2 linked regions of the Mus musculus genome follow. The protein of the gene in region 2 purifies or fractionates together with the protein of the main gene of each other region. This does not show direct contact. Links are inferred from orthologs where the notes say so. Each region holds a gene or a part of one and is shown on either strand. Other genes may lie near its edges. The genes, in order: Rc3h1 and Fau.

Region 1 (3,819 bases), on a different chromosome or scaffold from region 2:
GCTCACAACCATCCATAATGAGATCTGATGCCCTCTTCTGGGATGTCTGAAGACAGCTACAGTGTACTTACATATACTAAATAAATATATCTTTAAAAAAAGGGGGGGGGGTATCACACTGAAGTAACATTACCAAAGTAATGCTAATTCCTTAAATTAGGAAAAATAAAATAAAACTACTAACCTAGTATAGATGCCATTAAAAGTTTTTCCAGATACATGAAAGAAGCCTTAACTCAGTGCCTCTCAGCATTGACTTATAGCTCAGGGGTAAAGTGCTTGCCTGACAAGTTAATGTTCATACATATGACTTAGGAATGGGTAGATTTATCATCTACTATCATCTGTCTGTAATTGTTGGTCATATAATTCTTACTGTGATCTAAAACCAATGTTTTATATGACATCCAAAGACAGCTAAAGACTTATTCTTACTAATAAGAACATCATACTCTTATTAACAACCCCTTTACAGAGCTGGTAGAAATTATGCTAAACATACTCTCATTTTTGCTTTTTGTTAGAATGTAGAAAGTAAAGGAACGAGAGAGCAGAGGTTGGACCTTCAGAGAAGAGCAGTGGAGACGAGCGATGATGACCTCATCCCGTTTGGAGACCGACCAACAGTCTCTCGATTCGGTGCCATCTCTCGAACATCCAAAACACTGTATCAGGGTGCTGGCCCACTGCAAGCTATAGCACCTCAGGGAGCACCCACAAAATCTATTAACATTTCCGGTAAGAATCCTAGAGTGGTAATTATGATTCTCAATGTAATTCTATCAGTGCTTTTAAGACTTTTTTTTAAAGATTTATTTATTGGTTATATGTAAGTACACTGTAGCTGTCTTCAGACACTCCAGAAGAGGGAGTCAGATCTCATTACAGATGGTTGTGAGCCACCATGTGGTTGCTGGGATTTGAACTCCGGACCTTTGGAAGAGCAGTCGGGTGCTCTTACCCACTGAGCCATCTCACCAGCCTGCTTTTAAGACTCTTAAAGGCAATTATTAAACTTTTCCCTATAAGAAAGCAATTGCACTTCAGGCAATTTTAGGAGTATAAACTAAAATTAACTCTTTCTATATTAAGACTGCTTGAGGGGCTAAGGTGTAAAGCTCAGTTGATAGAGTGTATGCCTAATATATATGAGACCCTGTATTCAATACCCCAAACCACATAAACCAGCTATGGCACATGCCAGTAATCCTAGTACTGGAGAGATGGAGGTAGGGAGATCGGAATGTTCAAGTGCAGCTTTGGGTGCATAGGGATTTCAAGGCTATTCTGGGCTAATGATCCTGTCTCAAGGGGGGGGGTGCTGCTTGTGACTTTTATCTTAAATAACTTCATTATTTATTAAAATAAGATTCTTGGAGTCTGAGGAGGTGACTGGCTGGATAAAGAAGATCTGAGTTTGGATCCCCAGTACCCACATAAAATGTAGGCGTGCGTGCGCGTATGCGTATGTGTTGTGTGTGTAATCCTAGTGCTTTGGGAAGATAATCTGACACCAACCCTCACCCCTACATTCAAACACTCGTGCACACAGTGAAAAGAAAGTATGCAAAACCTGAAGGTTCAATGGGGAAGAAACAAATGCATTGTCATTTTGGCAGACAGCTTTCTGCAGAGACAGATACCGTGTGCCGCTGCCTTCTGGATGATAGTGCCTTAGATGAATCAAACTGGTAAATGACATCATAAACCACAGTAAACTGTTCCTTTACAGATTACAGTGCATATGGAGCTCATGGTGGCTGGGGAGATTCTCCATACTCACCTCATGCAAACATACCTCCTCAGGGACACTTCATTGAGAGGTACAGCCATTCTTGTTCACTTGTTATAAATATCTGAAACATTTAGCTTTCCTTGCTTTGTTTTCTAGTCAGTAGTGATTTCACAAAATAAAACTTTATACAAAATTTACCTAATGGTTTCTTTCTTTTTTACCAAAGGGAGAAAATGTCCATGGCAGAAGTGGCCAGTCATGGAAAACCCCTTCTATCTGCTGAAAGAGAACAATTACGGCTAGAATTGCAGCAGCTGAACCATCAGATCAGCCAGCAGACCCAGCTACGAGGACTAGAGGTACAGACCTACAGATACTTTTTTCTTGTGTCAGGAATTTTGATGTAGAGTACCACTGTGTAGCCCACATGGCTTCAGACTCAGGATCCTCCTGTGTGGCCACATTGGTACTTACATCGAGCTTTCAGTGTTCAGCACTGTGCCCGTTTTGTGCTCTAGTTCTGAAGAGCTCCCAAGAATGTTAAGTTGGATATAATTTTCTTTCATCGTGTATATGTATTTTGTGGGGTGGTATGTGCACATGAATACAGATGTTGGAGGATCTGCCTGGAGCTGGAATTATAGCAGTTGTTGTAGGCCTCCTGACATGTATGCTGAGAACAAAACCCAGGGCATCAACAAGAGCGGTATCTGATCCTAACCATCAAAACACCTCTCCAGTCTCCTTAAATAGTAAGTTCTGAGACACAGTAAAGCAGCACGTAATTTTAAAGCCTTTGCCTAACGTTAGTATAGATATCCCTTCTTCAGAGGATTCAGAACTAAATTTAGTTCTTGGCTAATAGAAAAAGAATATTGTCTGAGAATAAACAGTAGTGGAGGAAAAAGGAAAGAAAGCCTGCCTCAAGAACATTGAGTTTTTATAGAAAAAAATATAGGATTTACATCATGGAAAATAGCAATGAGAAAGAAAGATACACATTTATAATTGATTTCTCTTTGAAATAGGAAAAAAGATTAAATTATTTTTGGTGCTGGAAATATGTCTTACCATTCTTGCAGAGGATACAAGTTTGGTTCCTGTCTTACAACTGCCTATAACTCAAGCTCCTGGGGATCCAGCTCTCCTTCTGGCAGCCATAGGCATCTGCATTTCTGTTTAATGTGTACATCGCAACATTCACACACGCCATCTCTGTCTCTGTCTCTGTCTCTCTCTCTCGAAAATAAAACACATCTTTTAAAACTCACTCTCCCTTAAAAATAAAATACATCTTTTAAAATTAAAACCATGTTTCTCAAGTGCTATTAAGACAAAATGTGTTTATAGTTGGGTTATTTTTACTGCAAACTTGTGGCTAGTTTAGTGGTAAAATACTTTGGGTAAAGTGTTTTCTATGTGGCATGAGGTGCGCTGAATTATGTGTGTGCTTGGCTTTGTGCACTAGGCTGTTAGTAACCGGCTGGTGTTACAGAGGGAGGTGAACACCCTGGCAAGCCAGCCACAGCCCCCTCAGCTGCCTCCAAAATGGCCTGGAATGATCTCAAGTGAGCAGCTCAGCTTGGAACTGCATCAGGTGGAAAGAGAAATTGGGAAGAGGACCCGGGAATTGAGTATGGTGAGTGCTGAAGGTGGGGAAGGTGGAATGAACTCTGTGACTCTAGAGCTGATTCCAGGTACCTTGAGGAATAAGTAATATTTAGGGTGATTCTAATAAAGATGAGTTGTCATCTGGTGGTATTATTATTTTAGGTTTGTCCTTTGTCAAAGACTTTGGGGAAAACAAGGGAATTAATTAGAAATTTTAAAGTTTCTGTTTAATGTACTCATTAGGGAAGCAGATGGGATGGTTGCTCTTTTGGACTCTGTAATATTAAGATATGTTTACACAATAAAATGTTACTTTTCATGGTCTTTTATAGAAGAGATATATAGTCTGTACACTGTTCTCTGTACTGCTTTTTCATGCTAGTTTGCAGCATTTTCAAAAGGTAGTGAGAAAAGGTGGGTTGTACTGTATACTTTAGTGTATACTCTCTCATCTACCTGTTTTTTATTGTTAA
Region 2 (3,566 bases):
TCCTTCTGGAGTGTCTGAGGACAGCTACAGTGTACTTACATATAATAAATAAATAAATCTTAAAAAACAAACAAAAAAAAAAAAACAATGTTTTCCCTCAAGTTGTGTTGAAATTTAGTTTGTATTGTTAAGCATTATGAGGTCTATAGAGGGGTAGATGGGTGATCTGCCTTAGTGGATCATCTATAGGGCATGCCTGTAACAAAAACACTAGTGCCGTCATAATGGAAAGTGAACCAACACAAACCCAAAAGCTGTCTGGCAGAGCCCATAGAATCTGTACCTTTCCAATACCACTTGTCACATTTCTGTATTTCGGCTCAGCTATCCTTTCAGTAAACACATCCTCTGTGATCTTCTAAGGATTCCTTGTTTTTTTGTTTTGTTTTTCAAGACAGGGCTTCTCTGTGTAGCCCTGGCTGTCCTGGAACTCACTTTGTAGACCAGGCTGGCCTCCAACTCATAAATCCACCTGCCTCAGCCTCCCAAGTGCTGGGATTAAAGGCGTGCCCCACCACTGCCCCCCCCCTTTTTTTCCTACTTGAGACCAAGGCACTTTGCTAGCCTCTAGTCACAGCCTTACAAATGAAGAAAACATAAGAAGTCTGGACACAGTGGCTTTATTAGCATGGCAGGGTGGCAATAGGACTTAGGAATTGGCATTGGGGCCCTTCTTCTTCCCAAAGGTGGGCACAACATTGACAAAGCGCCGGTTGTACTGCATTCGCCTCTTGGCCCGGCCTGTCTTCTTCTTCTTCTTTTCCTGTTTGGCCACCTGAGGAAAGGAAGGACTGATCAGACCCTGGGTGACCTCTCCCATGCCTGCCCACCAGCTTCTCTCCATAAGAGAACACAGACGGGAAATCCAAAGGCCTTCACTTGGCTGTGATAGAAAGAAACAAAGTCCAAACACCAATCACTCACCTTGGGAGTCTGACCTCTCACTTTTCCAGCCCGAGCCAGGGAACCGTGAACTTTACCTGTGTTAGGGGTGGGGAAAGGGATCAGGTTAAGTAGCAAGGTCACGCCCAGAGCAACTCTTCCTCCCTCAACTCTTGAGCTTTTTAATGACAAGTTGGGCCCAACAAAGAATGAAAGTTGCACAGGCTTAGAGACAGGGTCACAACATAGCTGTCCACGTCTTGTCTTCCACTTCAAGTCACAACCAGTTTGTGCAGTGCTGAGAGCTGACAGATACTAAGGCAAGGACTCTAAAAACCAATCCATACTCTTAGCTAACATTCTACACACAGAGCAAAGACAGGAGGAGCACACTGAGAACCTAATAACAAGACTTTAATTATTATTACTTTCCTTTTGCTTTTTTCCTAGACAGAGCTCCTCTGTGTAGCCCTGGTTGGCCTGGAATTCACAGTGATCCGATTGCGTCACTGCCTCCCTACCACCAGGTTTTAGTGGGGATACTGAAAACCAGACTTAACTATCACTACGATCTAAAGTCCCTAGAAGGCACAAGTATACTATCAGAGAAAGGACCTATCACATGGTTTACCTACAGACATTCCATTAGCTCTGAAAAAAAGCACTCACCTCCCAGCATGCGGCCTGCTACTTCCAGAGTGGTCAGGGCCTCTACGCCACACTGGCCTAGGGTGGCCTCATCCTCCAGCGGCGAGCCTGCCAGAAGCACGACTTGATCTTCGGGGGCAATGCCTTCCAGGGAGGCCACATGATCCTTAAGGAAAAAAAGGAGCAATGTTTATAAGTAGACAAACTTTCCCCGTGGGCCTGGAGGTAAAGGAGTGCAGTTAGGAATCAGGGATCAGTACATACTTACTTTGATCTGGGCGACCGTCTCCTGGCCGGTCACCTCGAGGGTGTGTAGTTCCTGGGCGCGGACAAAGAGCTGCATGTTGGCTACTGAAGGAAGAAAGGCTTGTGAGTGATGATAGGGAGCAGCCCAGGAGAAAGGTCGCGGTACGGTAATCAAGGCGGGGGATTGCGCGGTCTCCCATGCGGAAGGCCAGGCTCGCCGGGGACCCGGATGGAGACGGAGCGAAGGCCGCAGAACCGCCCTTGTACTTTGCCTTCCCCGCACCCTCTGAGCCCGTAGACCGCTGGCTACCGAGCGCTCCTGGCCCAGCAGTCCCCCGTGTCTCACCTAGCCCGCGGACGCCGCTGCTGCTACCGCGAAGATGGAGTCAAGAAAGAGGAAGAAGTGGGGGCGCGCACGTCCTCACCGCCTGCTGCGTGTGACGTCACTGCAGCGCGACCGCGCGGATCGCTGGTGGTTTGTACCGCCCACCGCCGTCCCAGCCCGCCCCTTACGCTGTACGCAGGCGTTCGGTCCTTGTGGCCTGCGCGCGCAGAGGGAGGCGGGGCGAGCCCGGCTGCGCGCGCATATGACACTCAGTTGAGGCGCCAAGATGGCAGCAGCGGTGTTGCGAGCCGCTTTGCAGGACTGGAGGAGCTGCCTCGGTCGGAGCTACGGGCGACGGAAGCTGGTAAGAGCCCGGTGGACAGAAGGCTGTGTGTGAGCCTCACTGTTGCTCATGACCACCCTGAACTTCGTATTCCCTCACGAGGCCTTAGATTTGCTATGTACTCCGCTTCATTTTATGGAGGGTAGATTGAGGGTGGAGAGGGCAGGTGCAGAGCCTGGACTGCGCTTGGAGAGTCTGGGTTTGGGAATGTGGCTGCCGCATCCCAAGAGTTGGGTAAGACCGAGAGCAGCTGTATGTCCCCGCTCGGTGCCTGATCGATCAAGCATGTCATTTCGGAGTTAAAGAGTTTCAAAAACATGTTCAAAGACAAATACTGAAGAGTACTGTATAGGTCAGTCGTATGCTTAATCGGCTTTTCCGGATTATGCACGTTTGCCATTTGAGTCCTGGAGAGGTCTTGGGATTCTGACTGAGAATTTTCTTTCAGGTCACTCCCACCCCCACCCCCGGTATCATGCACACTAAAATATCCAAGTCTGGTGCTTTTCTCAGTTCAAGTTTTTACTCATGCTTTTTTTTTTAAGCTAAAGTTCTCCTGTGTTAATTAAACTAAAGGAAAGATGGTTTGTTTTGCCTTAGAGCCAGACCCAGGGGCCTCCTGATAACCCCGGCTTTGTGGAGTCTGTGGATGAATACCAATTTGTGGAGCGCCTGCTCCCCCCTACCAAAATCCCAGAGCCACCAAAACATAAACATTACCCCACTCCTAGTGGTTGGCAGCCTCCCAGAGGTGAGTTGAACAATAGAGGCTTTGGACTTTCCAGTGGGTTTCGAAGTTCTAAGATGTAGGAGGGTTAGTATTGTCCTGCCCCTGGGGAAGGTACCAACAGCAGCACCCTATGTTCCTGGGGTGAGGTCTTACCTTGTAGTGAAAAAGCAGAGAAGACCCATGTGTGTGGAGTTCTCTTCTTCCAGTCCAACGAACCCTATGTAAATTCAACAAAATGGGTATCATCTCAGTATGTGAAACCTTAATGCAGAGTCCAGTGTGGGGTTTTTGTTTTGTTTTGTTTTGTTTTGTTTTGTTTTGTAAAGTCTCATTGCCAGTACAAGGTTTTAGGACAGTTGGAACTACAGAGAGACCAAGAGGGCTGAAGAGGT

The links.
Region 1: the proteins of Fau (region 2) and Rc3h1 purify together in Homo sapiens (affinity purification with mass spectrometry; 3 studies listed by BioGRID, with this or other methods). This does not show direct contact. The link is inferred for Mus musculus from reciprocal best matches to the Homo sapiens genes FAU and RC3H1.

The regions. Positions count from the first base shown.
Region 1 is NC_000067.6:160,961,747-160,965,565, forward strand, and holds part of Rc3h1 (roquin-1), read left to right. Parts: intron 1-524; coding exon 525-738; intron 739-1,732; coding exon 1,733-1,823; intron 1,824-1,961; coding exon 1,962-2,094; intron 2,095-3,203; coding exon 3,204-3,374; intron 3,375-3,819. UniProt on the Homo sapiens protein: Post-transcriptional repressor of mRNAs containing a conserved stem loop motif, called constitutive decay element (CDE), which is often located in the 3'-UTR, as in HMGXB3, ICOS, IER3, NFKBID, NFKBIZ, PPP1R10, TNF, TNFRSF4 and in many more mRNAs.
Region 2 is NC_000085.6:6,056,558-6,060,123, reverse strand, and holds Fau (40S ribosomal protein S30), read right to left. Parts: upstream 2,178-3,566; 5' UTR 2,123-2,177; exon of another isoform or gene 1,882-2,122; 5' UTR 1,874-1,881; coding exon 1,799-1,873; intron 1,697-1,798; coding exon 1,552-1,696; intron 981-1,551; coding exon 925-980; intron 776-924; coding exon 650-775; 3' UTR 600-649; downstream 1-599. Other genes in the region: Mrpl49 (39S ribosomal protein L49, mitochondrial), read left to right, coding at 2,388-2,465, 3,045-3,195.